Linked DNA regions of Caenorhabditis elegans. The protein of the gene in region 1 purifies or fractionates together with the protein of each later gene. This does not show direct contact. Each region holds a gene or a part of one and is shown on either strand. Other genes may lie near its edges. The genes, in order: ech-4, ard-1, K07E3.4 and dhs-6.

Evidence for each region.
Region 2: the proteins of ech-4 (region 1) and ard-1 fractionate together in Caenorhabditis elegans (co-fractionation; one large-scale study listed by BioGRID). This does not show direct contact.
Region 3: the proteins of ech-4 (region 1) and K07E3.4 fractionate together in Caenorhabditis elegans (co-fractionation; one large-scale study listed by BioGRID). This does not show direct contact.
Region 4: the proteins of ech-4 (region 1) and dhs-6 fractionate together in Caenorhabditis elegans (co-fractionation; one large-scale study listed by BioGRID). This does not show direct contact.

Annotation. Positions count from the first base shown.
Region 1 is NC_003280.10:10,818,002-10,825,214, forward strand, and holds ech-4 (Delta(3),Delta(2)-enoyl-CoA isomerase), read left to right. Parts: upstream 1-3,029; 5' UTR 3,030-3,030; coding exon 3,031-3,083; intron 3,084-3,131; coding exon 3,132-3,738; intron 3,739-3,783; coding exon 3,784-4,281; 3' UTR 4,282-4,433; downstream 4,434-7,213. Other genes in the region: Guanine nucleotide exchange factor subunit R06F6.8, read right to left, coding at 1-180, 308-845, 926-1,017, 1,072-1,533, 1,584-1,694, 1,744-1,884, 1,937-1,948; R06F6.12 (uncharacterized protein), read right to left, coding at 4,460-4,834, 5,008-5,114, 5,167-5,255, 5,301-5,743, 5,789-5,966, 6,017-6,078; Mitotic chromosome and X-chromosome-associated protein mix-1, read left to right, coding at 6,383-6,476, 6,563-6,646, 6,806-7,213.
Region 2 is NC_003282.8:11,126,443-11,134,832, forward strand, and holds ard-1 (3-hydroxyacyl-CoA dehydrogenase type-2), read left to right. Parts: upstream 1-4,836; 5' UTR 4,837-4,850; coding exon 4,851-4,874; intron 4,875-4,957; coding exon 4,958-5,116; intron 5,117-5,898; coding exon 5,899-6,063; intron 6,064-6,110; coding exon 6,111-6,248; intron 6,249-6,877; coding exon 6,878-7,018; intron 7,019-7,068; coding exon 7,069-7,218; 3' UTR 7,219-7,341; downstream 7,342-8,390. Other genes in the region: SWI/SNF chromatin remodeling complex core catalytic subunit swsn-4, read left to right, coding at 1-87, 135-359, 407-633, 681-1,473, 1,522-3,171, 3,216-3,722, 3,768-4,253, 4,302-4,382.
Region 3 is NC_003284.9:8,079,323-8,088,146, reverse strand, and holds K07E3.4 (formate--tetrahydrofolate ligase), read left to right. Parts: upstream 1-4,128; 5' UTR 4,129-4,243; coding exon 4,244-4,246; intron 4,247-4,744; exon of another isoform or gene 4,745-4,800; coding exon of another isoform or gene 4,801-4,803; intron 4,804-4,865; coding exon 4,866-4,964; intron 4,965-5,013; coding exon 5,014-5,470; intron 5,471-5,529; coding exon 5,530-5,783; intron 5,784-5,835; coding exon 5,836-6,784; intron 6,785-6,971; coding exon 6,972-7,132; 3' UTR 7,133-7,278; downstream 7,279-8,824. Other genes in the region: Protein vem-1, read left to right, coding at 1-19, 236-412; dao-3 (C-1-tetrahydrofolate synthase, cytoplasmic), read left to right, coding at 1,598-1,720, 2,010-2,183, 2,306-2,684, 3,150-3,367, 3,717-3,734; C46F2.1 (uncharacterized protein), read right to left, coding at 8,261-8,500, 8,547-8,674, 8,720-8,824.
Region 4 is NC_003280.10:5,613,226-5,621,032, reverse strand, and holds dhs-6 (Hydroxysteroid dehydrogenase-like protein 2), read left to right. Parts: upstream 1-1,713; 5' UTR 1,714-1,752; coding exon 1,753-1,766; intron 1,767-1,814; coding exon 1,815-1,986; intron 1,987-2,057; coding exon 2,058-2,436; intron 2,437-2,971; coding exon 2,972-3,185; intron 3,186-3,231; coding exon 3,232-3,455; intron 3,456-3,499; coding exon 3,500-3,753; 3' UTR 3,754-3,905; downstream 3,906-7,807. Other genes in the region: eif-3.L (Eukaryotic translation initiation factor 3 subunit L), read left to right, coding at 1-299, 385-554, 604-841, 898-1,110.

The DNA.
Region 1 (7,213 bases):
AACTCCAACAACTCCAATGACGTCATCATTCCAAATAAAGACACCTCCAGTGACCAAGAGATTCTTCTCTTGAGTCTCATTTCCAAAAATCTTCCAACGTCGATTGGATAATGAACAATATGCCATTCCTTGATCACCGGCCACGACGAGATGTTTATAGTTTCGATCAGTTGATGCATACTGAAAACATATTAAATTTTAACATTTTATTTTAATAAACTCTATCGGAAAATACCTACGTGCCTACATGCCTACCTCATGGTTTTACCAAATTTATGCTTTTAGTTTTTACTTTTAAAAAACTCACTCTCAGTGGCCAATTAGATGATAGATATTCATGTGTAACTGTAATATGATCCCATACAGAATGCGGTGCACAAGCTTCTGCTTCTCGATCCCTTGCAGCACTGATCAAAACCTGCGAGTCACTCATCAATACAGCTCTATCACAATGTTCCATTGCCGGGCTTGAACATGAAGCACTCCTCACGAATGGTTGCATCATAAGCTCATTTTCAGTTCCAAGCCACAGTTGGAAACCTTCTGGACCCCATTCAATAGCCGTGTATCTATCATTTTGATCTTCTTCGACGACACCTTCCAGATTGCAAAATGATTGAGCTCCGAATGAAGTGAAAACTGCGACGAGCCGAGGAAGAGCATGAGCTCCGGATAGTGGAGACCAAATTGCACCGAATCCGTATCCATTCGCGAGGGCTGTTATTCGGTGAACCGGACCCAGTCGATTCGTCAAGTCAGGACCATTTGTTACTTTTGGAGCAACTCGGAACGATTGAACGAGTGAGCCATTTAGTTCATCGATGTTATAGGCACAAACGTCGCCGCTGGAAATAGTTTAGATTAAAAAGAAAACTGTGCGTTTGATTTTTGAAAATTAAAATCTGAAAAATCTGAAAAAACTCACTTTTTACATCCAAAAAGAATCAGAAGGAACTTGTGATTCACATCGCAACACGTGGCATCTTTCATATTCGGAGCCCACACTCCCAGAATTGCCTGGAATAATAAAAAATGGGTTTTTTTTTTAATTTTTCATGATAAAAATCTCACATTAGGTGCAAAATTCGGATCATTCGACGTCAATAGAGCACCTTGACCATCGGAAAGTACAATCGCAAATCCTCCGAGAAGTGGAGCATACACGGCGTCAAAGATATACGTGGATTTTGAAGTAATATTTTCAGATTTCGACTGAAGTTGATCCACGGAGAACGGAATTGAACTGGCACGGAATGAGAGGCTTGCAATAATCTCTCCAGTCCAAGTGACATGATGAGTGAATCCATTTTGAAGGCAAACAAGAAATTCATCACGAGAAGGAACACAACATGTTGGTATATCAGCCAGATTTATGATTATTGTTGGATGAAGATGAGCTGTCGGTCGAGATCCTTTTATAAAAAGTTCCGGTGAGTTTCGTTGGAAATATGGATCCGCAGAGTCTGTGAAATTGTAGCATTGTTCATCGTCTCGCAAATCTAGATTATAGATTAAAATTTTGCATTGATTTGTCTGAAAAATATAATATTTTCAAAGAAAGAACTGTAAAATTTAAATATTACCGTTACAGCTATACTTGTTGAGTCAGGTTTCCAGTAAATTTCTTTTAATTCTCCACGTGTTTCTTTGAAATTGGCATCGATAACCCCGACGGAGCACAGGAGCAGTTGGGGCTGAATTTATGTTTTTTTAATCAGATTTTTATTAGTTTTCAGCACTAACATTTGCCAGCCAAATGTAAATCGCATCATTTGTTGCGACTGCTATCAATCTTCGATCTCGATTTGCCACAATTGACTTGATATCGGCGGCAGTCGAATCCTTTTCATGCTTCGGAAGCTGGAGAACCGATGGCCTGTCATTCTGGAATTTTCAAAAATTATTTTTTATTAAAAAAATTCTAAAGGAAACTTACAGGTATGAACATTCTATGCCAGATCCATCAAATGTTGTATTCTGTTGAAAAATATTAATTATTCGGGGGAAAACGGTTTTTTGCGATTAAAAGCTCAGTAATAAAGAAGCGCGTTCAATTTTTAGCAGATTCAATTCGACATCTTGATTTAAAAATTAGGAGATTGATTTTATTTTGTATTTGGAACGCAAAAACGTTTCAAACAGAATAAAAAGGCCTCCAGCTGTGAATATTTTTCAAGAGCAATCGCGCTCGGTTGCCACGCGTTAGAGGGCAGAGACGCAGACTTTTCAAAAATTTCAGGCGTTCAGGATTGCGTGGATGAAAATGATTTCACTCGAAAAATAACAAATTCATATTTAAATAATAAAATTAACACCAAAAAAAAAAGAATTAACAAAAAAAAACAACAAAACAATTGAATCAGAGTACTGTAGACAAAGTATTGTGCATTTTGTAGTTGCCGTGAACAAGGGTGTCAATTCCCGTGTCCCGTTTGTCCCGTTGTCCCGTTTTTGGGGTGTTTTCACGGGAACGGGAATTCTGTTGTCCCGTTTTTAAAATTTTCACGGGAACGAGAATTCCCGTTGTCCCGTTTTTGTAATTTTTACAGGACACTGACACCCTTGGCCGTGAACGTCCTTTGTCTGCAAATTTTATTGATTTTATTTATCAGTTTTCTGATTTCTCCTAGGAGGGGATTTCTCCTAGGACTCCTAGGGATTATAATTTGATTTTCACTGTTTTTTCTAATATTAAAATCTTAATTTCCAGGTTATCTATACAATTTGAGCTCTCTTTTAAAAAAATTGAAACTCCAAATTTTCCTGAATCTATTATTTATCCCATTTATAATTGCTCCACTATTGTCTTGCGTATAGTAGCGATTGTCCAGCTACACATTACAATGTGTATTCTTGTGTGTAGCCAGTTCATTCAAAACAACAAAAAGACGGCGGCCGTTCTTATCATTTACCCGGCCCCTCCGTGTACCTTGTTCTTTTCTTCACGTTGTCCATTTTCTTTCTTTTTTTCTCTTTTCCCCGAAAAAATTAATTATAACGTTTAAAAAATCAATTTTAATTCATTTCAGAATGCTTCGAAATCTCACCCTCGCCGCTAGAAGTGTTCTCTACAATCCGCAAGTGTAAGTCTGCAAAAATCATCTAATTTGTGAATAAATCTTCAATTTCAGTTCCGTTCGCTCGTTCTCTGCCCAGGCTGACTTCGAGAAGGCGCAGAAAAATCTGAAAACTCTGAAGGAAGAGCCGGACAATGACGTGAAACTGCAGCTCTACGGGCTTTTCAAACAAGCCACCGCTGGGGATGTGCAAGGAAAACGCCCGGGAATGATGGATTTCGTTGGAAGAGCCAAGTATGATGCCTGGAATACTTTGAAGGGACAAACTCAGGATGAAGCTCGCGCCAACTATGCTAAACTGGTCGGTGGACTCATTTCCGAAGAAGCTTCTGCTGCTCCAGAACCAACTGGGCCATCAATCGAAGGACTTGAGAACGTTGACGGTTTAAGTGTGACTCGCGAGGGAAAAGTGTTCAAAATCGCATTGAATAGACCAAAGAAGTTCAACGCATTGACATTGGAAATGTATCAAGGAATTCAAAAGGCACTGGAGGTCTCCAACAATGACAAGAGCACCTCAATCACTGTGATTACTGCCAATGGATCATATTACTGCGCTGGAAACGATTTGACTAATTTTAAAGCTGCTGCTGGAGGTACTAAAGAGCAAATTGCGGATATGGCTAATACAGCTAAAGTTATTATGAAGGATTATGTCAATGTTAGTTTAAAAATATATATTTCAATAATAAATTCAAATTTTCAGGCCTATATTAACCACGAGAAGCCTTTGATTGCTCTGATCAATGGCCCAGCCGTAGGAATTGCTGTGACCGTGCTCGGAATGTTCGACTACGTAATTGCAACCGATAAGGCCTCATTCCACACTCCATTTGCCCCACTTGGACAATCACCTGAAGGAGTTTCGAGCTACACGTTCCCACTGATCATGGGATCTTTGAGAGCTTCTGAGATGCTGTTGGTCTGTAAGAAAATCTCAGCCCAAACTGCAAAGGATTACGGGCTTGTGAATGAAGTTGTGCCAGACGCTGAATTCCAGTCACATGCTCAAAAAACTGTGGAAGCGTTCTCCCAACTTCCGCCAGAAACTCTTCGTATCAATAAGAAATTGCTCCGTTCTCTGCACAAGGAGAAGCTTCTGGAGGTCAACAATATCGAGGCCGACCAGATTTGCGAGCGTTGGCAATCCAAGGAGTGTCACCAAGCGATTGCAGCATTTATGACAAAAGGAGCAAAGAAGTAATTGTTTTGTGCCCTCTTAAGTTTTACCTTTTTTGTAGATTTTTTATGTATCTAAAAAGAATTATGTGTATTTGATTGAACATGTGCAAAAACAAAATTAAATGATTAATTTACAACAATAGAATTTTAGCAACATATAAATAAATGAATCCATAAATTTCGAGTAAAAATGAAGAATATCAACTGCTTTGCTCATCAAGAACTATAATCTTCTCACGAGTACATGAATCACAAGCTGGTAGCCGAATAACAATGTACGATGGCTCCTTCTGGTAGACCTTCTTATCACAAATCGGGCAACAAAAGTTCGGAGTATGTACTAGATGTGGTCCGTCGACGACAGGAGCCAACTGATACGACTTTTTCAGAACTGGAGGGCACAGATCATCGTTGGCTGATCGCTTTTGAGCAGCATTTCGAACTGAAGCCATATCCGTCCTCCGGAGCAAGACGGGCGGAGCAACTTGTTGATACTCGTGATCACTTCGGTCTCGCTGGGGTACGAGCATCTGGTCGATGGTGGCGTACGCGAATTCTCCATTCATTAATTGGATCTGAAATTTCAAAGCTTTAAAAAATATACTTTATAGAAGTTTTATGAGCATTTTTCTTCGTTTTTTCTAGAAAAGCTCTGTTTTGATCCAAAAGTTGAAAATAATTACATTTTATCGGATCAAAACAGAGCTTATCTTGCCTAATTAAACAGAAAAAGTAAAGAGTTTCTCACCTTGTACTCCGAATCGCCTCGAACATATTTGACAACCGCATCTTGAAGACGACCATCAGCTGTCCGAATTTGAACGGTTTCTCCAATTATTGGGCTTCTTGTAGATTCTAAAATAATTTGGATAATTAAAATTAGTTCAAATAAGCTTCTGAAACTCACTTCCAGCTTCCAACTGTTCATGATGATGATGGTGATAACTTGTTGATGGAGCCTGATCGTTGTATGCAGAATCTTGAGCTTTTTCTTTTCTAAAAATAATAAAAATATAGTTAAAATTCTACGTGTTGACCTACATGGGCGGTAGAGCAAGTTGCACAAGTTGATGGACATTTTCAGTGCTTAAATTGTTTAAATCAATGTTCAAATTGGCGATTTCGGAGGGGGAAACATAGAATTGCTTCTGTTTTGATGTAATATTGACTCCACCATCATTTGTCAGAATAATATGCATTGCATTATCGATTATCTGACCATTCCCATCATATTCTTCCTCCGGCCCATTTCCATCACCTTCAAATTGATTTTCAATCATTTCGTGATGAACCATGTGATGATGTGAACCATCTTCTATGACAACTTCTTCATTGTGCTCTTGCTCGTTTTGTTTCGCCTGTCGTTGTTGACTAATCGCCACCACAATGTTCAGCTGCTCTTCGGTGAGATGATTAAGCTCAAAGCCTGCTTCTACATCGAAACCCGCTTCGTACATGTCTTCCTGCGTGATTTGAACCATATTCTGAAATATAAATATTCTTTCAATTCATCGAAAAGCTTGAAATACCATAAACTGTTGATCACCATCCTCCACAATCATATCTCCTTGTTCAAGATCTTCCGGCTGCTGCTGCTGCTGCTCAACAATTTCTTCTTCATGCTTAGCACTTTCAACTCGAAGTGGGGCCTGATCCTCGTGGAAAATATGATCTTCATCGGCAGGATATACACCTTCTGGGGAGGATCTGGAAATTCCATTTATTAATTTGAAAGAAAATGTGATTTTTATTCTTACCCAGGAATTTCTTCTTCACGGCCTGTTGTTGGGCTAGCAGGATTTTCTTTTTCGGAATCCATATCTGCAACGATTTTCGTTGTTTAATAAAAATTAAAAAATAAAAATTAATAAATGACTCTAAATTATAGCGAAGGAGAAAAAACAAAGGAGAAAAAAATTACAAAAATCACAAGGCAACTTTTGCGCGTCAAATCTCATACATTCCAGTCCGCAAACACTCTCACGCCACTCTGCACACTTCTCAAAAGACGCGCCAAAAAACATTCAAAGCTCATTCGGCTTTCGAAATAAACATTTTCTCAAACTCGTTATCGACTTATAACTTATTTTTGTTCAAAATCAATTCGACAGGGTGCGCTCATAATGCACATTAAATCCATCCATCTGGATGGCTTTAAATCGTACCAAAAGCACACCGATATTCTCGATTTTTCGCCGACTTTCAACGCAATCACCGGTGAGTATAGTTTTGTGCTGAAAACTAATAGTTTGAAAAACTTTAATTTCAGCATAAAATATAGTATAATAATTGTTTTATTTCAGGATACAATGGTAGTGGAAAATCCAATATTCTCGATTCGATCTGCTTCATTATGGGAATCAATAAGCTCGATAATATCAGAGCAAGTATGTGGCTCTTTCTCATCACAAAATTATTTTGTTGTCATAGTGATACTTACGCGCTTTCGGACTGAAAAAGCACAAGATCAGAGTAGCATAATATTTCTAGCAAAGATTTTTTAAATTGAAATTTAGAAAAAAAAATTAAGTCAAATATCATTCCAGAATCAATGCACGAGCTGATTTCCCATGGTGGAACAAAAGCGATCGTCCAAGTTCGCTTCGACAACACTGATAAAAGATGCTCCCCGTTCGGAATGGAACATCTCGACGAGATCGTCGTTCAGAGAATCATCACAGCTCAAGCAACTGGAAAAGGATGTGCAACGAGTTACACACTGAATGGGCATGCGGCCACAAATGGAAAAATGCAAGATTTCTTCCGTGGCGTCGGTTTGAACGTGAATAATCCACATTTTCTCATCATGCAAGGTCGTATTACTACGGTGCTAAACATGAAGCCGGAGGAAATCCTCGGAATGGTTGAGGAAGCAGCTGGAACAAAGATGTATGATCAGAAGAAGAAAGACGCGGAGAAAACAATGTTTTTAAAAGATGCAAAACTCAAAGAAG
Region 2 (8,390 bases), on another chromosome or scaffold:
CCAAAAGTTACAACTTTGTTGCCTGAACCTTATGAATATCCAGGAGAGGCAGAGAATGGAGAAAAGTTGCCGTATGATTTGATGAAGGTAGGTAAAATGGATCGAATGAAACTATACAGTCTACTTTTTTACAGATTTTCAATCTCCATCAAATACGCTGTAATCGTCCAACAACAATTTCTGTTCCATCAGGAATTGATCCTGTTGGCATGCTCAAGCAAAGAGAAAATATGATTCAAAACAGAATCGGGCTACGCATGAAGCTACTCAATAACTTACCCGCCGACATTCCAGATCACATGAAATTGAAAGCAGAAATCGAATTGCGTGCTTTACGTCTTGTCAATCTCCAAACTCAGGTAATTTCTGGATTCGAAGAGTATTTTAACCAATAAGCTGTTTTTAGGTGCGCAGTGAAGTGATGGCTTGTCTCAAAAGAGACACAACTCTCGAAACTGCACTCAATCCATATGCGTATCGACGCACAAAGCGGCAATCTTTACGCGAAGCTCGTGTTACCGAAAAGCTTGAGAAGCAACAAAAGATGGAGCAAGAAAGAAAGAGAAGGCAGAAGCATACTGATTTGATGCAAGCTATCATTCAGCATGGAAAGGAATTCAAGGAGTATCATAGGTGAGATTGTATTTAGAAAGTTCTCCTACTAATTAAATTATTTTCAGAAACAATCTTCTGAAAATGGCAAAGTCTCGCAAGGCAGTCATGACATATCATCAAAACAATGAACGTGAACGCAAGAAGGACGAGATTCGAAATGAAAAACTTCGTATGCAAAAACTGATGCAAGAAGATGAAGAAGGATATCGTGCTCTTCTTGATGAGAAGAAAGATCAACGTCTTGTGTATCTTCTTCAACAAACCGATGAGTACGTCGACTCTCTGTGCTCACTTGTTCGTCAACATCAAAATACCGAAAAGAAAAAGAAGAAGGAAGATAAGAAAATTGAAAAAGGAAATCAAATGGATGAGGAAGCCAGGGTTCACGTTCGGGAGAGAAGCACTGGAAAAGCGCTTACTGGAGATCAAGCTCCAAAGACTGAAGAAATTGAGTTTTGGCTTGAAACTCATCCAGAATATGAGATAGTTCCACGTGATCAGCTTAGTGATGACGAAGAAGAGGAAGAGGAAGAGGCTCCAGTGGAACCAGAAGAAGAGAAGGATGATCAGTACGCTGGAATGGATGAAGAGACAAAAGCTAAGATGATCCTCGAGAAGGCACGTAACGAAGAGGATGAATATGATCAGAAAACGAAAAAGCAAATGGCTGATTACTATGCAACTGCTCACAAAATCAAAGAAAAGGTTGTCAAGCAACACACAACGATGGGTGGTGGTGATCCGAATCTTCTGCTGAAACCGTATCAGATTAAGGGATTGGAATGGATGGTCTCCTTATACAACAACAATCTGAACGGTATCCTCGCCGACGAAATGGGTCTAGGAAAAACTATTCAGGTAGGAATTTGGGAAATGAGGAAATATTAATCAATTTTTAATTTTCAGACAATCTCGTTGGTGACGTATTTGATGGAAGTCAAACAAAACAATGGACCATATCTTGTCATCGTACCGCTCTCCACGTTGTCCAATTGGCAGAACGAATTTGCTAAATGGGCTCCATCTGTAACCACTATCATCTATAAAGGAACTAAAGATGCTCGTCGTCGTGTTGAAGGACAAATCAGAAAAGGAGCGTTCAACGTTTTGATGACAACATATGAATATGTGATCAAAGAGAAAGCACTGCTTGGTAAAATCCGTTGGAAGTATATGATAATCGACGAAGGACATCGTTTGAAGAATCACAATTGTAAATTGACATTGATGTTGAACGGATTCTTCCATGCTCAGCATCGTTTACTTCTTACTGGTACTCCACTTCAGAACAAACTTCCTGAGCTATGGGCTCTGCTGAACTTCTTACTTCCATCGATCTTCTCATCTTGTGGAACTTTCGAACAATGGTTCAATGCTCCATTTGCGACTACAGGAGAGAAAGTAGAACTGAATCAAGAAGAGACGATGCTCATCATCAGAAGACTGCACAAGGTTCTTCGTCCATTCTTGCTGAGACGTCTCAAAAAGGAAGTAGAATCACAGCTTCCTGACAAGACCGAGTATGTCATCAAGTGTGACCAGTCTGCTTTGCAAAAGGTTATTTATCGTCATATGCAGAAAGGATTGCTTCTCGACGCTAAAATGTCATCTGGAGCACGTTCGTTGATGAACACTGTCGTGCATCTTCGCAAGCTTTGCAATCACCCGTTCCTTTTCCCTAATATTGAAGATTCCTGCCGTGCATACTGGAAGGTCAACGAAGTCAATGGAACCGATCTAATGCGTGTTGCTGGAAAGTTGGAACTTCTCGATCGTATTCTACCGAAACTAAAGGCAACAGGTCATCGAATTCTGATGTTCTTCCAGATGACGTCTATGATGAACATTTTCGAAGACTTTTTGAATTTCCGAAGATACACGTACCTCCGTTTAGACGGTTCAACTAAACCAGACGAGCGTGGAGATCTGCTGACACAGTTTAATGCTCCTAACAGTGATTTGTTCCTTTTCATGCTTTCTACAAGAGCTGGAGGTCTTGGACTCAATTTGCAAACTGCTGATACTGTTATTATCTTTGATTCGGATTGGAATCCTCATCAGGATATGCAGGCTCAAGATCGTGCACATCGTATCGGACAAAAGAAAGAAGTTCGAGTTCTTCGTCTCATCACAGCTAACTCTGTTGAAGAGAAAATTCTTGCCGCTGCTCGCTACAAGTTGAATGTCGACGAGAAAGTTATTCAAGCAGGAAAGTTCGATCAACGTTCAACTGGAGCTGAAAGAAAGCAAATGCTCGAACAAATTATTCAAGCAGACGGAGAAGAGGAAGAAGAAGAGGAAGTTCCAGATGATGAAACTGTGAATCAGATGGTTGCTCGCTCAGAGGAAGAATTTAATATCTTCCAATCGATGGATATTGATCGTCGTCGTGAAGAAGCTAATCAACTTCACCGTAAACCCCGTCTTCTAGAAGAACATGAAATTCCAGACGATATTCTCAAATTGTCATTCGATTATGAGGAAATGGAACGAGCCAGAGAGGAAGGTCGTGAAGTTGTTGATCAAACTCCTAATCAGAGAAGACGCAGAAGAGAGGTAAGGAATATATAAGAGAATTTACAATATTAATTCATTTTCAGGTCGACTACTCTTCCGATCTTTTGTCCGATGAACAGTTCATGAAACAAGTTGAGGAAGTTGAGGATGAAAATAATCAAGCTGTGGCTGAACGTAAAAAGCAAAGAAAACGTAAAATGGCTGGATTGGACGAGAATGATGATTCTATGGATGACGTTGTTCTACAACACAAGAAGAAGAAGACGGATCCAGAATTGGCAGAAAAAATCAATGAAATGCTTGATGTTATTCTAGAATATAAAAATGAGGATGGAGAACTCATCGCGGATGTATTCCAGACACTTCCAACTCGTAAAGAACTGCCGGACTATTATCAAGTGATTTCCAAACCAATGGATTTCGATCGAATCAACAAAAAGATCGAAACAGGACGTTATACGGTTATGGAAGAATTGAATGATGATATGAATTTGCTTGTGAACAATGCTCAAACATACAACGAAGAAGGCAGTGAGATTTATGTTAGCTCTGAAACAATCGGAAAATTGTGGAAGGAACAATACGATAAGGTATGATTGATTTTTGAAATTTCGAAGTTTACATTACTTTTTCAGTTTATGAATCCACCGAAGCCAGTAGAAGAACCAGTCAAGAAGAAAGAACCTTCAACCCCATCAACTTCATCTTCTCGTCCCTCAACCAGTGGCACTCCAAGTGTGTCAGATCTTCAGCGGACACAACAGGCAACTGCTCAGCAAATGTTAATGCTTATGACACATATGCAATCACTTCCACCCGCACAGGCTCAGCAGTTTCAACAGGCATTGATGACACAGACCGGTGGAAATCAAGCCCTAATGCTTCAATATATGCAGTCGGCTATGCTAGCTCAACGTGCACAAGCTTCAACTAAAGTAACCCCCAAAAAGGACGAGAAAAAAGAAACTTCGTCTTCTGTAAAGACCGAGGAAGCTAAGAAAGATGATGAACCATCAACATCGTCTGCAAGTGCACCACCACCGAAAAAGAAGAAGGAATCGGAAGATAGTGAAGACCCAATGGAAGAAGATGAAGAAGAGGAGATCATTGGACAAAAGAAGGTTACTTGAACTTTTTTAATGTCTTTAAGTCTAATATTTAATTTCCAGGAACCAGCATCAAGCCGTCGAAAGTCTCGTCCAACTCGCCGCTTCTCGAACGAGGATGAGGAAGAAGAAGACGACGAGTGATCAAAACTAGTCTGCTCCAAATATTTTCATGTCCCCATAAACATTTATTCTCTGTTTGTGTATTCTTCATGTTCTATGATTTCTGATTTTTTGAGCTGTCACCATAAATATGTCCCACCTCGTTCCCCCATTCTTATCTCTCCTGCTTCACAGTTATCTCTCATCGCTTTTTTACTGTTTATCTCTACTTCTCTTTTCTGTCGCAAGCTACACGTTTGCAGGAAAAAATCCCTGAAACAAAAGCATTAAGCATTGTATTTAACCCATATTCCACTTTTAATCCATACTATTCGTCAACTATTTTAAAGAAAAATTTAATTTTATAAACATTTCGAGAGAAATATGCTTTTGTTATCAAGAATTATTTTCGAATTTCGTTGCGATTTCTTTTATTAAATACTTTCCGTCTTAGTTCGAGATTTTGAATGTTTAATCAAACACACTTATGATTTAGGTAAACGGGAACAAATGTCGGCACTCAGAAGCACTAAGGTGAGTTTAAGAGCTTGAAAAGGTTGAATACTTGCTCCAAAATTGAAAGTGTTATCTGAAAACCCTACGTTCTATCTTCTCAGGGTCTCGTTGCTCTCGTCACTGGCGGAGCGTCTGGACTGGGAAAGGGTGCTGCCGAAGTTTTGGCAAAGGCTGGTGCACAGGTCGCTATTCTTGATCTTCCACAGTCAAAAGGAGCCGATGTTGCGAAGGAGATCGGAGGAATCTTTACACCAGCTTCGGTAACAATGATTTCATGCTACATTTGTAAAGAGAAACTTCAAGTAAAATATTACCCAGACGCCAATTTTGCGATCTCTGTCTCGACACGCCCTTTTTTGTAAAATAGAAACGAGTGTGTGCCTTTAAAGAGTACTGTTATTTCAAAATTTCGTTAGTACTGAATTTTCATGAAATTCTCATCGTTTTTTAAATTAAGAATTAAAAATTGAAAGCACATCAATTTTATTCAACAAATCATGATAAAAAACTACGAAAAGTCGATAAAAATTCCACAGCATTTTCAATTTTAAGAGTACTGTAAAATTACAGTACTTTTTAAAGGCGCACATACATTAGTATTTTACAAAGTTTTACGCTTCAAATATTACGATAACACAAAATTCTGAGAATGCGTATTTTGCAACATATTTGACGCGCAAAATATCTTGTAGCGAAAACTACAGTAATTGTTTAAATGACTACTGTAGCTCTTGTGCCGATTTACGGGATCGATTTTCGAAATGAATTTATTCTCGAATAGTGACAGTGATATTAGATTTTCCTTCATTTTTTCTTAAATTAAATAATTAAATTGATTTTAACTAATTTGGAAAAAAACCAACCCTGAAATTGATACAAGAGCTACAGTAGTCATTTAAAGAACTACTGTAGTTTTCGCTACAAGATATTTTGCGCGTCAAATATGTGGTTCTATACGCATTCTCCGAATTTAGTGCTCCCGTAATAACATAATTTATTATTGTATTTTCTCATTAAAAAACAAACGTTTCATAAATTTCAGGTAACATCCGAAGAAGAAGTGAGAGCAGCTTTTGCCAAAGTTCAAGCTGAATATGGTCGCCTCGATGCTCTTGTGAATTGTGCCGGAATTGCGTATGCTTTCAAGCTCTACTCTGTTCAAAAGAAGAAACACGTTGATTTTGAGAAGATCCGTCAGACCATTGATGTCAGTTACTGTCATTTCAACCACCAAAATAACTTAAAACAATTTAGGTTAATGTTTTGGGAACATTCAATGTTATCCGACACGGAGTTGCTTTAATGGGAGAACACGAGAAAGATGCCAATGGACAACGAGGAGTTGTAATTAATACCGCTTCGGTTGCAGCTTTTGATGGACAAACTGGACAGGTAAATATAAATATTTCGAGGCACAAAATTTTGAGGTTTTTGTATTATATGAAAGTTACAGTACCCGGTCTCGACACGACAATTTTGTTAAATACAAACGGCTATGCGCCTTTAAAGAATTCAAACTTTTGTCGTTGAAGAATTTTTATCATGTCTTCATTTTTTTGTTAAAAATATATTTGTTACTGTAAAAACTAAAATAAAACTAAAATAACAAATTGTGAGTGAAACTATAAAAATCGATGAAAGCTCTGCAGCAAAGAAAGTTTGAAATTAAAATACCGTTTGTGTTTTACAAAAAAAAGTGGCGAGACCGGGTACCGTATTTTTTGGCGAAAAATTTCTAATTTATGACTTTTATTCGAATTAAAATTCTAAAATTTTGCCAACATTTTTCAAAATCAGCATATCATCAATTCGCAAAAACTTGAAACTAGATGCTAAGCATTTTATTGTGAATCCTGGATTCTTCTGTACAGTTCTGAATTTAAAATTTCATAAACTTAATTTTCTGCACCAAATGAACAAAACTGTGAACCTTGGCACATATAACACATGTAACAGGCCAAATTTTTGAAAATATACAATGCCAATTTAACAAATTTAAATAAGTTAAAAAATTTTTGCAGTCTGCCTATTCTGCTTCTAAGGGCGCTATTGTTGGTATGACTCTTCCATTGGCTCGTGATTTTGCTGGCGATGGTATCCGATTCAACACTATTGCTCCAGGACTTATGGATACTCCACTTCTCTCTTCACTTCCAGAAAAGGTGAGGGCTGAAAAGGACGTTCCTATTCATTAAACAAGTTTAATTTTCAGGTTAAATCCTTCCTGGCCCAACTCATCCCAAATCCATCGAGACTTGGACACCCACACGAGTACGGAGCTCTTGTGCAGCACATCATTGAAAATCAGTATTTGAACGGAGAAACTATTCGATTTGACGGAGCACTCCGCATGCCGGCTTAATTTAATATCTCTTCATTCCGATTGTTTTTTAAGTACAGAGTTTTAGATCATTTTTTTGTTTGTTTTTCAAGATTTCGAAATTTGATAATTTTGCGCATATTTCTAATGAAACAGTGATTTTAATATATCATGAAATTTTGAAACAGTAAAAACAAAGCAACTTAGAAACCGAGCTCAACAGAAATCAGAAGGTAACATTAGTTTATAACAACTTAAACAACAAATGGTCGGCAAATACTGTTGTACTAAATACTTGATCTTTTACTTCGTATCTATTTTGCTATACAGTAGACATTCTTACTACCACGGCAGGGATTATATCATTTACTACTGATATTTTACTACGAATTAAAAATTAATTTCTATATTTAGTATATTCTAGATATGAAAAAATGTATGAATATTAAAAAAAAACATAGGTCCCAATTGTAGTTTGTTCTCTAGTAGTTCTTGTAAATTTCAGTTGTTTTCTTTTGATACTGAGTTGGAGATTTGTAGAGTAAATTGAATTACACTTCCACACAATACAGTTCACATATAGAAATGGCGGCCGCGAAACTCAAAAGAAGGAACAGACAATGCCCCCTACAAAAGTTACCGTAACCTGAGATTTTATTCTCGCGCTTATGAATTCCTCTTATGACAATTTTTCAACTTTTCCATCTCTCCTTGTACTCTGGGATCTATATTCATAATTTCTATGATTTCTTGCTCCTGCTCTTGGACCTTCTCACTGTTTGTAGAAACTAGACATTTAGAACTGTTTCATCGTGAAACTTTCATCAATTTAGTTCTTCGAGGCTTTGATTTTCCGAATTGCGAGGGGAACCTAAAACTAAAATAGGTTTATAGATCCATTCAGTTTGATTTTCCTTTTATGTCTTGTTGGTTGCCAACTCTTTTTATCTCCACTATCTACTTTATCAATTCAAAAAAGAATTGGTTAAGATTCACTTTTTACAGCGTGACATTGATGGCTTACATAGATAAATGCTAGATTAAAAATATCTATTCATTTTTTGATTATTGTTTATTTTTCTTCATCGAGCTGAAGGTTGCCCTCGTAAAAATCAGGTATTTTATTCATTTCTTATCAGGAATATAAATTTACTGTACCAATTTAATGGCAAGTATCTGTTCTGTGCCGTTTATCAATTCAAAAAAGAATTGGC
Region 3 (8,824 bases), on another chromosome or scaffold:
AATCTCTGCTGACGAGCAGGTAGGCTATGCAGTTTTCTCATGAGTAAGAACGTGAAAGTTCGTTATAAACATTTAATCCTTAAAGTCATTGTTTTATGATTTGTGGTATTTATTCATAACTCAGGCATAAACCATAACTTTTTTGTGTCATCAATATGACATCGAAGCTAATTCAAATGTATATTGCCTCGGTCAGATTGATTGTGAACAAAAAAACCTAAATTGATTTTTACAGGAAACCGCCAACGAATGGGAGACACAGTTCAAATTCAAGTACTTGACTGTTGGACGTCTGGTAAAGAATAGCTCGGAAAAAGCAGATTATGGAAATAGAAAATCGTTTGTTCGTGGAGCCGAGTCTTTGGATTCGATTATCAATGGTGGCGACGAGGGCACAAAAAAGGATAACTAATTGTATTCAAATCCATAATTGTTGCACATTCCAAAACGGTTACATCTTATTTTATGTTCTTTGTATGATATGAAATCCCATTGTCCATCCCTTCTCACCATCTCTCGCAAATTTTATATAAATACTGTGATTTAGTTGTTTTTCAAATCGAAGAATGATTTTGAATAAATGATTTTTGTGTACGCCTTTGAAAAATGTTAATATTTAATATTTACTTCATTATTTTCACTGTTCAATTGCTCCGATAATTTGGATTGTGCAGGTTTTAGGACATTATTGATAAGACTTGTTTTCTTCATTTTAAATCATTTGAAAAAAACATTTGAGAATAACATGTTTTGATTTCTGGTTAATAGAAATAGACACTTTTTAAAAATCAACGTTTCCCAGTTTATAAGAAAAATAATGAGTTTCACATTCAAATTTGCAAGGTAAGAAGTTTTCATGATAAGATCCCAGTCCCATTGTAGTCAAAATGTTGATATGATTATTGTTTTTATCTCGGCAAATTGCTGGGTAAAAAGAGATTTTGCGTCGTATGGATGCCGATAAGATTTCTGTGTTATGCGCGCGCATTGCATGCAAGGCCAGCCGCCGACTGTTATCGATTTTCATGGTCCGCCGCCACGCGTTCGTATTGGACATTTCTGCACTGTGTCCATTATTTTGATATATTGTTAACATATAAGGCAGCAAAAACTTTCAAAAGTATTATTTTCATGTGACAAAAATTGAATTTTGTTCCTTGATACACTGTTTTCATTTTCAAGCAAACATGTTTAATGCGGAAGCTTTGACATCGAAACTGTCGGTGGAACATGTATTTTCCATGAGAATGTCGCTGACAAGCAACTCTAGTCACTCGACACATAAAATCATAGCGATCTTCAGCATAAGATAACAAGGCCAGGCCGTTTTAAAACTCTTCTCATCACTCCCCCACAAACAACAGACCGCTATGCATATTCAACTTTTTCGACGCTTTATTTTTTCACTCTGTCCCCCACCATCGAAATGTGAATATGTGCTAAGTTTCCAATCAGCTTGTCCTCTGACTTCTGCACTAGTCTCTTCCCATGAATAGCCAAGTACAAGAGGAGTTTCGTACTCTTTTCCTTTACTCTTCCCCTTCTTGTTTTCTTGACGTATTTTTCAACTTGATTATTACTTTGTTTATTTTTTAGAATGGTCGCGGAGATCGTCAGTGGACTCGAGTACTCAAAAAAGGTTCTTCACGATGTCGGACAGAAAATCGCAAAAACCCGTGAGCACCACCCAAATTTTCATGCAGTATTGGCAATTGTTCAGGTATGAAAGCTTACCACTGATAATAATTTTATTTCAAGCATTGCTATTAACTTAATAATATTTCTAAATTGAATATATGAAAATGAAAATCTCTGTCCAATCTGTGTTTTGAGTTCATGACGTACATAAGTGCATTGCATACTTACAAAACAGATTTTGAAAGTTTTGCAGAGCGTAATTTGTAGTTGTGGTGTACTTTTGAGATACCGGCTTTTATTTCGTAACAAGACAAATAATATCCGAGGGGATATCTGTTATACTGAATAACTCAAAGTCTCAAAATTTGCAGGTTGGAAATCGTTCAGACTCCAATGTGTACATTAATTCCAAACTGAAAAAAGCAAAGGAAATCGGAGCAGATGGAAAACTCATTAAGTTGCCAGACACCATCACTCAAGGAGATTTGAAGCGAGAGATTATGGCTCTTAATCATGACAACGAGATTGACGGAATTATCATTCAGGTTAATATAACGGATTAAGTTGTAATATTGAAATGTTAACTTATAACGGAAAAAAAACACATCTCAGTTAATTAAAAAAAAACATCGGAAGCTAAACAATAATAGCAAGTTATTAATTTCAGCTTCCACTGGACTGCAAGCACGAAATCGACGCAGACTCTGTTATCGACTTGATTGACCCATTGAAAGATGTCGATGGACTGACTCGTATCAATGCTGGACGTTTGGCTCGTGGAGAACTCCAGCGTACGATCTTTCCTTGCACTCCGTTTGGATGCTTGTACTTGGTTCAACAGGCAACTGGTGATGCCAACTTTGTGTCTGGAAAGGAGGTGGTTGTTTTGGGACGCTCGAAAATTGTCGGATCTCCAGCCGCTGCGCTTTTCTTGTGGCATCATGGAACTGTGACAATCTGCCACTCAAAAACTCCAAATCTCAAGGAGAAATGCCTGAGAGCAGATATTTTGATTGTGGCAATTGGGAGAAAACATTTCGTCAAAGGTAGATTATCAATAAACCTAAATTTGAGATAGTGCACAGTACTGGCCATACAGATATCAAAAGATTGATTTCAACTTCAGCAAACGTGGTTATTCCGAGCTGAGATCTGACTATAGTAAAATAGTGAAAGTTTTTATATCCTGATTTTTTGGAATTCATCATTGAACAAATTTCGCGTTGCTTTTTTCATAATTACGCCCAAATCCATTTAAAAGAAGAATCTTGGCAAAAGTTATTACGAGTAGACCTTTATATGAGCAGCACGGTATTTACTTGCTAACCTAAAAGTTTGTAAGTCATTAAATTATGCAAAATATCTATAATAGAAACCCCAATTTAAGAACTATCAATGTTTAGTATGCACCTGACTGTTTGCAACTTCTGAATTGTTTTGCATCAAATAGAAACAGACTCTCTGTTCTGATAAGTGTCAGCGTTTTTTACAAATAAAAGCATATATTTCAGCTGATTGGATCAAGCCTGGCGCATTCGTCATCGACTGTGGAATCAACGTTGGTGACGACCCAAACTCACGCAAAATTTACGGAGATGTTGACACAGAAGCCGCAAAGGAAGTCGCCGGATTCCTCACACCTGTCCCCGGAGGCGTTGGACCAATGACTGTTGCCATGCTCATCCGTAACACATTTGAGCAGGCTAAGAGACGACGTCTTGGACAAAAGGTAAAATAGCTTTCCTTTTGCGACACTAAGTTTGTGCAGGTTTTTTGATGTTCTGGCCTAAGCGTGGATAGTGCCAAACAGTTTGTTTTGCGTGTGGGGTTGATACTGATGCACCAGAGTTTATTTCAAAAATTACAAAAGACACCGATAGCACGTTATCGACTCAAAGAACTTCAAAAATTCATTGAGCGATAAACTCTACGAAACAAGCAAATTTCATGGACATTGTCTTCATTATTTACACCGAATGTAAAGTTGTTCTGCAACTATAGTGTGCCTCACACAAAATCGATTGAAAATATGTTAAAAATATTTGTAAGTGTTGTATTTCACAGAACCTACTTTTCAGGATGACGATGATGAGTGAACTTCAAGCACCCACTTCCACCACATCATTTGCGAATGAACTATTTATAATGTGCTTTTTGGTTTGACTTTTTACTCTTTAAAATTTGTTGTGACGTTCTGGAACTTGAAGTCCTCTTCATACCTTTTTTTAATCTAATCTTTTCAATTTGTATTTTCTTTTTATTGTCACTTTCCACCGAAATAAACAATGACCAAGGACACAATTAGCCCTGATTTGTAAAAAGACCATGGTCTCGCGATAAATGCACGTGGTTAGTTTAGATGTTTAGATGCACGAGAGCGACGCAACATCGAACAAATCAGAGGACGCGATCAATAAGGCAGACCCGGCAAATGCCCCCCGTGCATGTTTTCTGTGCGTCTCCTAATATCTGATACTGACTCGATTACTTGTTCTGCCCACTGCCTTATCAAGGTGTTTGTATTTAGTGGCCATCGCTCTGCAGTTGTTTGAATCACTCGCTTTTTATTTTCGTTGATTCATTGGTTTCTCTTGAATTGTGAAACATGGTAAGTAACACTAACGTTTTGGGATTTGATTTTTAAACGGAAAATGCAATTTTGAAAACTCCAAAAATAACAAAAATAATTTGTTCATGTTTTGAGCGTGAGCAAAAAAAACAGAACTTGTGTATAATAACTCCACACTGTAAAAATACATTTTCAAAAAAAAAAAGAGTCTGAAGATAAAAAAAAGAGTATTATCTGTTAAATTAATATGTACATAGAAATTAATCTTGAAAAAGCGTCTTTTTTGTTTATGTTGACTAATAAAAACTTAATATGTCCCAGTTTGATATGTTGTCATACATTTCTGGAAAACCTAAAATATGTTACTTTCTTCTGATAAACCTGTCCGTGCGTTTTATCGTTTTTTAAAGTCAAGTTGCGAATTGCAACATTATCACTATTGTCAATCTATTTTATTGATTGATAAGAATCAAAATATAAAAAAATAAGAATTTTTGATCGAAGTTCCCATAAACATTTAAGTCACAATTTCTATCTTTTCATCAACTTCAATTTTCAATTTTTCACGCTGCTTGCGCCGCAAATTTGACCGAATGGTAATTCGATTAAATGTTCCAAATCAAACATTATAATTTCGTTGAATTATTTTTTATTTCAGAGCACATGGAATGTTGAATACTTGAAGCCCACCCTGTTAACTCCTGTTCCATCGGATATTGCTATTTCGAGAGCTCAACCACCAAAGGACATCGAAAAGGCACTCAAGAATATTTAATTTAAAAAAAACTTATCTTCATTATTTTCAGGTAGCTGGGGAAATTGGAATCAAACAAGAAGAGCTTGACCTTTATGGACGCAAGAAGGCAAAGGTTTCTCTTGACATTTTGGATAGACTGAGCGAGGTTAAAAATGGAAAGTACGTTGTAGTTGCTGGTATTACGCCAACACCTCTTGGAGAAGGAAAATCCACAACGACAATCGGACTAGTTCAAGCTCTCGGAGCTCATCTTCACAAAAAGGTGTTCGCATGTGTACGCCAGCCATCGCAAGGACCAACGTTTGGAATTAAAGGAGGAGCTGCTGGAGGAGGATACTCTCAGGTTATTCCGATGGAGGAGTTCAATCTTCATTTGACAGGAGATATCCATGCAATTACTGCAGCCAATAATCTTCTTGCTGCTGCAATCGATGCTAGAATGTTCCATGAGTCAACCCAAGCAACTGATGCACTATTCAACAGATTGGCACCAAAGAACAAGAAGGGTTTGTTTGAAGTCCCTTTTTATGGCATAGAAATAAATACATTAATACTTACTTTTCAGGAGTCCGCCCACTTTCGGAGATCCAACTTCGTCGCCTCGACCGTCTTGGAATCCCACGTGTAGATGATGCTGAAAATCTTAGCGAAGAGCAGAGAGTTAGCTTTGCTCGTCTCAACATAGATCCTGCAACTATCACCTGGAACCGTGTGATGGATACGAACGATAGATTCTTAAGAAAGATTGAAATTGGAATGGGACCGAATGAGAAGGGACACACCCGAACTACTCAGTTTGATATTACTGTTGCTAGTGAGGTTAGTCAAAACAATTTCATGGCAATTTTAATTTATTAATTCTTATTTGTAGCTCATGGCGATTCTTGCGTTGACAACTTCTCTCGCTGATATGCAAGAAAGAATTGCACGAATTGTGATCGGATCCGACAAGGCTGGCAATCCAGTAACCGCTGATGATATTGGAGTAACTGGGGCTTTGACAGTTCTTATGCGAGACACCGTTCGCCCAAACCTGATGCAAACTTTGGAGGGTACTCCGGTTTTTGTCCATGCCGGACCCTTCGCTAATATTGCACATGGACAAAGCAGTATTCTTGCTGACAAGGTTGCTTTGAAACTTGCCGGACCCGACGGATTTGTGATCACTGAAGCTGGATTCGGAGCCGATATCGGAATGGAGAAGTTCTTCAACATCAAGTGCCGTTACTCGGGACTTCAGCCATCAGCAGTTGTCCTTGTAGCAACTGTAAGAGCTCTTAAGATGCATGGAGGTGGTCCATCTGTTGTAGCAGGAGCTCCACTGAAACACGAATACCTTGACGAAAACATTCCACTTGTTGAAGGAGGATGCGATTCAAATCTTAGAAAGCAGATTGAGAATGCAAACAAATTTGGAATCCCTGTTGTTGTCTGCGTGAACAAGTTCGCAACCGATACCGACAAGGAGTTGGAACTTGTTTGCTCCAAGGCCAAGGAATACGGAGCATTTGATGCAGTGGTTTCCGAACACTGGTCACAAGGAGGCGCTGGTGCGGTTGCTCTCGCCAATTCTCTGGTCAATGCTACAACTGGACATCCAAAGCAATTCAAATTCCTTTACAACCTGGATTTGTCATTGGAAGACAAGATCGCTACTATCGCCAAAGAAATCTATGGTGCTGATGGCATTGAACTATCTGACGAGGCCAAACAGAAATTGGAAAGATACACAAGACAGGGATTCTCGAAGTTGCCAATTTGTATGGCAAAAACTCATTTGTCCCTTTCATCAGACCCAACAAAGAAGGGTGCTCCAACTGGTAAGAAATCAAATTATTAGATACCGGTCAATTATAAACACTCTGTTGATGTTTTAATGTTTATAGTTTAGGTACTAAAAGTTCAACATTATGATTGGTTAATGAAACTCGATATTGACTATGCATAAACAATTTCCTACCAAACTATTCAAACAACTATTTTCAAATCAAGATAGAGTTTTTGTAGGTTTCACACTTCCGATTCGCGACGTGCGTGCATCCGTTGGAGCTGGATTCATTTACCCATTGGTTGGTGAAATGACCACAATGCCAGGACTCAACACTCGTCCGTGCTTCTACGACATCACCATTGACCCAGTCACTGAGATCATTGATGGGCTATTCTAAACAATGCTTTCATACTTCTTTCTACAGATTATTTGTGATATGCGTAACATTGTGATTTTATATAAGAATTTAATACTGAAATTGTAAATAAAAAGAGTATATAAGAGCATATTTTTTGAAGACCAATAAAATTGAATTAAAAAAAATATTTCTGTCTGCCAGGACATATTTGCCGAAAACCTGTTATTTCAGAAAAAACCCGGTTTTTCCTGTTGTCACGTCATCATATGATCATAGCAGTTGATTGGCTATGAAATTGAAATTTGCTGGATTCAATTACTTTTTCATCAGCTCAACACAATATCTGTGTATCATAACTATGATACATTTTTCCAAAAATTGGTTATTCAGTATTTCTACTTAAAAACGGGATATAATAGTTTGGGTAGTAATGCTTTTTTTTTAATAATTTTTTTTGCAGTTTGTATCAAGACCATGCATATTATTTTTGACATGGAAATTGCATTGTTGTTTTTATATCTTCCTATCAAAAAAGACAATGCAAAACTTTTTTACAGATACTTATTTGTTGAAAATCGTAGCAAGTAAGTTAGCTCGAAAATATTTGAAAAAGGGGATTTAGTATTGAAAAACTTAGATTTTTAGTTTTTCTGGCAATTTCCTTTGACATTTTTTAAAAGCTTTTAATTGAGATGTCTGTTGCTTCATTGAAGATTAAAAAAACAAGTATAAAATCTTCTAATGCACTTTTACTTTTTCTTCCTTCGTGTAGCCTGACATGTTTGTTTCTTTAAATGCTGAAATTTATGATTCTGAAAAAAATTATTTGTTGAAATCATTTCATACAAAGTGGCACAGCAGGAGTAAAAATAAGAATAAAAATAAAGTACATGAAATAATAGCTGAAAAGTTTTTGGCAAGAAACAGTTGTAGCAATGCTACAGGATTTAATAGGGGAAATGGGAAGTGGTAGACTGACAGAACAATTGTCAAACAAGTATAAATCATTTTTGGAATTGTGAATGAAGCAAAGAAATTGAACATTTAAGATATACCAGATGAAATGTATTATTTGGGTTTCTCATAATATGACATCCTCCTTTATACAATTAAAGTGTTATTATTGGCTTATTGCAGTTACAAGAGTTTGAACAAGTTTTTCTTGGCTTAATCGGAATAAATTAATTTGTTGATTGGCCAGAAATCAAGAAAACTAGTCCATGTGCAATCTTTTTTGTGTGGTAATGAAAGAAGGTTGAGCGATTTGAATGTGAGCTTTTGTGATTCATGGTGCATAGTTGAATGATTTGAGTGATGTTTGTGATGAGTTGTGTGTTTCTTAGTATTGATGTGTGGTACCACTTTTTTAAATGTCCCTGGGTATTCTGTGATTGCATAGCAGGATCTCTAAAAAGCATGTTTCTTTTTGTCTATTTCAAACTGCAAAACATACACCCAAGGGAAAACAACCATAGTAACTTATGGTTATCGTAAACATGATAAGTCCATTTATTTCGTTGAACTTTTTGCGGTAGACAACGAAATCTTTACCTCTGACAACAACAGGATACTTCTCCTTTGCTGAAAAAAAAAACAAAATTATACAAATTTAAAATATAGACTCACTTTCAACGTCAACTGCTGTGACACTACGAATTTCAAGTTCCTTTGTGAATTGGCTGTCATCAACATTTATCTCATCGCCAAATTCCGTCAAACTTTGACAAGACA
Region 4 (7,807 bases), 5.2 Mb from region 1:
ATCTCTACTTCAAGCTTGGATATTTCGCTCTCATCGGACTTCTCCGCACTCACGTTCTTCTAGGAGACTATCATCAGGCTTTGAAAACCGTGCAATACGTGGATATTGATCCAAAAGGAATCTACAATACAGTTCCAACTTGCCTTGTTACTCTCCATTACTTTGTTGGATTTTCTCATTTGATGATGAGAAATTACGGAGAAGCTACAAAGATGTTCGTCAATTGTCTGCTTTATATTCAAAGAACAAAGAGTGTTCAAAATCAGCAGCCATCGAAAAAGAACTTCCAATATGATGTTGTGAGTACTTTCTAAATTTTTTGCACAATATTTGCACAATAATTGAATATCTAATGAAGACCCAATAATATTCTGCCGATTTCAGATTGGAAAGACGTGGGATCAGCTTTTCCATCTTCTTGCAATCTGCCTCGCCATCCAGCCACAAAGAATCGATGAAAGCATTGCTTCTCAGCTTTCGGAGCGATGTGGTGAGCGTATGATGCACATGGCGAACGGGAATATCGATGAATTCAGAAATGCTTTTGCTACTGGGTAGGAAACGAAATTAGTCAAGTAATTGTATAGTATTGTATTGTTGCAGATGTCCAAAGTTCTTGTCTCCAACCACAGTTGTCTATGAGGGAGTCAACCAATCGAAAGAACCACTTCTTCGTCAAACTCAATCTTTCCTGGAAGGTATTGAATCACAGATGGCGTTACCAGTTCTTCGTGGATACCTGAAACTTTACACAACACTTCCAACTAAGAAGCTTGCGTCGTTCATGGATGTTGATGATGAGCACTATGATTCGTTCATTGGAAAGCTTCTCACTTACAAGGTATATATAAGAATTTCCGATGATCTCGAGTGTTGATGTAATATTTTGAATTTCAGATGATCGTCAATGAGCTTGGCAAAGAAGCCGGACCATCATCAGCAGACGACGATGAGCCACAAACAGATATTGACTTTTACGTAGACCGTGATATGATCAATATTGCCGATACCAAAGTTGCTCGTCACGTCGGTGAACATTTCATTCGACATATTCAGAAGTTGCAAGAGGTTCAGGATGTGCTCAAACGACTCGATATCCAGAAACCATGATCCTTAAAAAGTATTTGAGCTAAACGAAACATGACTGGTTGATTTCCGGTTAATTTCGTTTAGTTTCACACCAACTCCCACTCGTTTGTTAACATTATATCTCTTGTTGAAAATTAAAAACATCTCTCCGTTTATTTATACCACTTTCTCCTGTTGTTGTCTTTTCGTTTTGGTCCTAAACTTCCTTTTTTTCTCTTATCTCCCAATTATTTTGTATCCATGGTTCATAATAAGTTTAGTAAATTTTTTTGGTTTTTCTTATGAAGTTAATTTATGATTGTTTATATTCTACGCTCATCGCAACTACTTCTCAATTTTTTCCGAATAATTATTAATCTCTCTTACGAGTAGTCTTGTATGTACAGTGATAGACTGTACTTTGACCTATAGGTCCATGGTTTTCACCTAGAACGTAGTCTTATGTGTATTCTCCCACTAGTTATGCCTGCGTCTCCAGTCTCGAGGGAAGATAAGTAGAACAGGAGGACAACAACAATCTTTTCCATTGATCCCGATTTTTTTTCCCGTTTGTTTTCAAAATTAAAAAAAATTATTGTTTCTCTTCTTGGCTCGCCGAATTAATTCTAAATTTCGGAGTTTCAGATTCTACAGTAATCCTTTGAAGACAGTGTCAATAATAAAATGTTCAACACTGGGTGAGTTATATAAATAACTTCCCGTATAATAAAGTTCTGATTCTACAGAAAATTTGTCGGGCGAACAGTTCTGATTACTGGCGCTTCTCGAGGAATTGGAAAGGAAATCGCACTGAAATTGGCAAAAGATGGTGCAAATATTGTGGTGGCAGCAAAGACAGCCACAGCTCATCCAAAACTTCCTGGAACCATTTACTCTGCTGCTGAAGAGATTGAGAAGGTAATATAGAAAATTGCTGGATATAAATAATTTTAAGGAAGTTTTTTTAAACAAAAAACAATTATTTCTAGGCCGGAGGAAAAGCCCTTCCATGCATCGTCGATGTTCGAGATGAAGCTTCTGTGAAAGCATCAGTTGAAGAAGCTGTAAAAAAGTTCGGAGGAATTGATATCCTTATCAACAATGCTTCAGCAATTTCACTTACCGACACAGAAAATACTGAAATGAAGCGCTACGACTTGATGCACTCGATCAATACACGTGGAACATTCCTCATGACAAAAACTTGTTTGCCATATCTGAAATCTGGAAAGAATCCGCACGTTCTGAACATTTCACCTCCACTTTTGATGGAGACTCGCTGGTTTGCTAATCATGTTGCCTATACAATGGCCAAGTATGGAATGTCGATGTGTGTTCTCGGGCAGCATGAAGAATTCAGACCACATGGTAATATATTTGAAAAAATATTCGATTTTTGAAAATCTCGAAATATTTTTAAAAAATACGTACAGTGAGTACTGTAGCTCCTAACTATCCGAAGTGTTAGGGGCTACAGTCGTTTTTCGGTTTTTTTTTGAAAATCGAAAAATTTAATAATATAGTTCTCTTTCGATGTTTCAAAAATCAGCTTAATATTTTGGCCATTATCCCTCTTTTTAGAAGAAATTTCTATGTTTTTTCTCATCATTATAAGCAAAATTAGATAAAAAATTTTATAATCAATTTTCTGAACATTTTTTCGATTTTTAGATTTTCCATAGAATCGAAAAATCGAAAACTTTCGATTTTTCGATTTTCACTGAAACACATCGAAAAATCGAAAAAGTCGAAAAATGCCACCATTGGATACAGTACCCCGTAAAGGTGCACATACTTTTGTACGTACCGAGTACCATATTTTTGTGTAAGAAATTTCAGTATATCGAACATTTATAATAGTAAAATATTAATTTTCATCGTTATTTTAATTTCCATAATTCAGGTATTGCTGTGAACGCTCTATGGCCACTGACCGCAATTTGGACTGCTGCAATGGAAATGCTTTCTGACAAAGGAGGAGAAGCTGGAAGCCGTAAACCATCAATTATGGCTGATGCAGCATATGCAGTTCTATCCAAAAACTCCAAGGATTTTACTGGAAATTTCTGCATTGATGAAGATATTCTGAAAGCTGAAGGAGTTACTGATTTTGATAGGTAATTGCTCATTTTCTGGATAATTGGAATTTATTAATTTTTCCAGATATGCATGTGTGCCAGATGCTCCATTGATGCCCGATTTCTTTATTCCTGCAGGAACTTACGATCACAAGTTCTCATCTGGAGCACAGATCGGAAAAAAGAATAAGACTCACGAAGCCGGAGTTGTTGAAGAAGAGATCAAACAGATATTCACATCTGCAAAGCGCCTGCTTAATGCTGATATTGTAAAGAAAACTGGATTCGTGTATGAATTCTTGTTAAAAGGTCAATTCCGTTTGAAATCTATAGTTCTATATGAATTTCTTTAGACCCAACTACAAAAAGCGAGAGAATCATTACTTTGGACTTGAAAAACGGAGAAGGAGCACTGACAGATAAGAAGGCTTCAGGCAAAGCTGATGTTAAATTCACACTTGCTCCAGAACATTTCGCTCCACTCTTCACTGGAAAACTCCGTCCGACGACTGCTCTGATGACAAAGAAGCTCCAAATCTCCGGTGATATGCCAGGAGCAATGAAATTGGAGAGCCTTCTCCGCAAGTTCACCGAAGGAAAACTGTGAATAACTGATGCATTTTGTAGAATAAATTGAAAACTTTGGAGTATTTTTTTATTTTTGAATTGGTTTTTTTGTATATTTCTTGTAAACATGATAATTTTATTTGTAAATTAATTTTTAGATATGATCTTTTGAATGAATTTTCAAAGTTTGAACCGTAATTCTAGTATGATGTGAGCCGAGATACTTAGTTGGTGATATTACCCAGACGCGACTTTTGCAATTTTTGCGCCAAAAATACGCAGCCCAGTCTCGACACGTTATTTTTCTGTACAAAACGAGTGGGCCTTTAAAGAGATATGTAATTTCAAACTAATTTAAAGAAAACTTTTCATATTTGTCGATTAAAAATGTAAAAACAAATTTTAACATTTTTAAGTACTTTTTGAAGGAACACACCTTTTCGCATTTAACAAACACGTGCCGTGTTGAAACCGGGCACCGTATTTTTTTAAAATTCGACATTTAGTAATTCTGAATTAACTAAAGATAAAAGTTTCATAAGATGAAACACATAAAATCAATTTACTTTAATCAGTGACAATCTCGTTTCCCGTATCCAATACAAGATTTTATTGTAACTGTAATATAATGAATTACAGTCAATAGACTCTGATCGTTCAACTGTCAAAAAATGTCATCAATATTCGTTCACTCTATCTGATTTCTTGTTTTCTGCGCGTACTATCACCTCATTTATCATCATTTATGTTATTTATTCTTTTCCTCCAACTGTTTTCTATTTTATTTAATAATCGACCTCACTTCCTTTTTTTCAGAATTCTAAAAAAGGTTTCTTCCATCTACAAAGTTCTGACGTGAAAGAGCCCAGAAAATCACTCTGGAGCAAGGGAATTGGATACACATGGGAACTTAATATAAATGAACTTAGACAAACTTAGGAATATACGTCACAAAGTGAAAGAATATCACGTCGAGGTGGCCGCCCGTCTACATAATTCGGTTTCACAGAGTTATTGTGTCAAAAAATAAACTTTATTATGTGAAGCTATGTAAAACAAAAAATAGCCGACAGAAAGTTTTAAAAAATCCTACAGGAACTCGGAAGTATTAAGTTTTGAAAATCCATCAGTTTAGACAAAAGTTAAATTTTCAGAATCCCCATTTTTACACTTTTCCACGTCAAAATGTAATTCTCCTGATGATCCTTCAAACTTTTTTCTAGTCGTACTAGTGCAGGTGTCTAAAATAGTGATGTTGTTGTCTAGAGTTCCAATACGGCAAGATGTAGTCGTAACATCTGAATTTATATTCCGTTATTTTTGAAATTTGTGGTAAGACAGGTGAATCTAAAAAAGGTAGATTGGAGTTTATTTTTGGTTTTTTCCTGTTCCAGAATAAATTAGACTATGTGGTAAGCTTCTATTTTTATACTAAACATTTAAAAAATTTTAGTATTATTATGCTGAACATTGCGATTTTGGCCTCAAAAAATAGGTGCCTGATAATAGGTGTCGACACGACTACTTTTTTTGGACTTAAAAGTGTGTGCGCCTTTAATGAGTACTGTAGCGTATAACTTTGTTTTTGCGGAATCTGCTTTGCTTTTGAATGGCTTTTTTTCGTTTTCCCTAAATTTTGAGGAGATAAGAGTAAAACTCTCAAAAAATCGAAAAAAAAATCTCAAATTTTAAGATCGAGGAGCACAGTACTCGCAGTACTCCTTAAAGGCGCAAACATTTTCGCATTTGAAAAATCGGCCGCGTCGAGACCGGGTACCGTATTTTTGCGGCAAAAGGTTCACAATTTTGAGCATTGATAATGTTGTAGTTTTGCAATTTTTGTTCTTACTGCATTTCTTTTTGCATTTCTTCTTTTTCGCTTAACTGAGCTTTAAGCTTAACTTCCTGTTCCCAAAAAATTAGATAATTATTCCTTACATTGAAAACATCGGTAACAATTGTCTATAAACTCAAAAAAAGTTATCAAAAACAAGAAATTCCCAGTGGCACGAGTAGGAGCAAAACTCAATGGCCATGTGACCAACTTGTGGGAAAACTTGAACATTGTTGTAGTAGTGATATTGTAATATTCTCAACTAGAAAAATATATCATACGACTACTATTTTGATTTCATGGGAATATACTACACATCGTATAGTTTTTGTTTTTTCGATTTTCTGTATTCTAATCACTTCCAAATTTTTATGAAAAAACAACAACAATTTCTTTTCTGAAATTCAAAGCATACCTTTTTGTTACTTTTTTTTCGAAACTTTTCTCCATTCGGAATTATTTTCTTCGTTTTCTCAAGCAAAATTCAATTTAATTAAGTTGTTTACCGAGTTGTAATATCATATTTCCTGATTTGACATTTTATCGAACATTGTGTTGTGGACTAACGCCCAACTAATTGGTAAGTTACTGGATTTTTATTTGCTTCACGGGCCGCCGGACAAAGCAATCGGCAAATTAAAAAAAAAAACTTGCCATGTTTCTAGTTAAATAAGTTTTTATATTACCTAGAAAAATTAGAAAGTTAATCAAAAGTATGAATATTGAAAAAATGAATTCAAGGTTGACGACATGATTCTTGGAGAGCGAAAATGCTATGCTAACTAAGAATTTTTTTTTGAATCTTAGGTTACTGTAGTTTTAGACATGGTGGGAGTTTGTACGTCTAAAATTTAGTCATAATCATACTACCGTCCTACAGTCTTTATTAGGAAGACGCTTAACAAGATATTAAATAGACCCACTTTCAATGCAATCTTAATGCTCTTCCAAGAGGTCTCGCCTACAAATATTACCAAATTTTACTAACAAACTCATTGCTAAAATTTACGGTATTGCGTCCCCAATGTTAGGTCAAAAAACCCTTCCCAAAGAAGTAATTGTCCATTTGATTGACACTTCCCATTTCACTCTTTTTCCAGAATTCTGACGTAACATCTTGAAAACGTGAAAACCAATGAATATTCTAGTTACGCCTGCTGCCGCGTTTAGAACATTTTGCCATTGTTACTCGTTTTCTCAGTTAGTCAGTAAAACAACTTTCTTTTTAAATGGTCATACATCCAGAAGGACACTAATTGCATCGTTTCGTTCATTTTCTCTCATTTTTCTTCCCAACTTTCCCCTGTCTGCCTTGACCATTTCATAAACTTTCAAAGTGACAACAGTCACAATTGTGCCATTTGTATTTCATTCCTTTATTCCTGTTTCCTCATTAGTTCTGCGTCTCTTAATCCCTTTAAATCTGCAAGAAGAGAAAAATTCTGTAACTACGAAATAGTGCATGAGAACATGAGACGGGGAGAAAAATCACGATTACTTCGAGATGCCATTGGCAGAGAAGATGCATAGATTCCCTGACATCAAGCTGAATGGGCGGAGCGTGTAGGGCCATACAAGTGGTATAAAATGTATCCGGTTTGAGGGATGAATCTCATCTCTCAACTTTCAACTTTAATTACATTTTCACTTTTCATTTGTTTCTTGTTTTCGATTTCTTATCAATGAGGGATTGATAAGGATTTATGACTTTTGAGAGTGATGCTTTTACTTTTTTTAGATTTCAATTTTAATTTATAAATGCCTATAGGCTAATGTCTGCAGAGAAGATTATGAAAAATTAAGATACAAATTAATAAGCCAATTACAGTAATAAGCATATCACAAAATTAGCTTGAAACGCTTCTATTTATGTACATTAAAAAAGGAGAATTACTCACTATCAGAATAACTTCTCCTTGCAAAAAATTAATTAACTGATTCGAACCTGTAAAAATGCTGGCAATTTTTCAAAAAGCTCAAAACTTGAAAAAAATTTGAGTGCGGATCGTCTTTTAATCCTCGTTTTATATAATAGGTTATAATAGGTGTGTTTTGGCAAAATCTTCACTTGCACTACTCCACCCTAAATTAAAAGGAAACATTAAAAAAACAATAACTTAAAGGTTCATCTTTAAAGTTTTCAATTTAGTGAAACATGCAAACAATGTAATTTGTCACTTTATATCAAATCACCTGAATCTTGTATTTTATCTGAAAAACCATCTAATTAATCTCATTCCTTTCTATTAAACTTTCATCT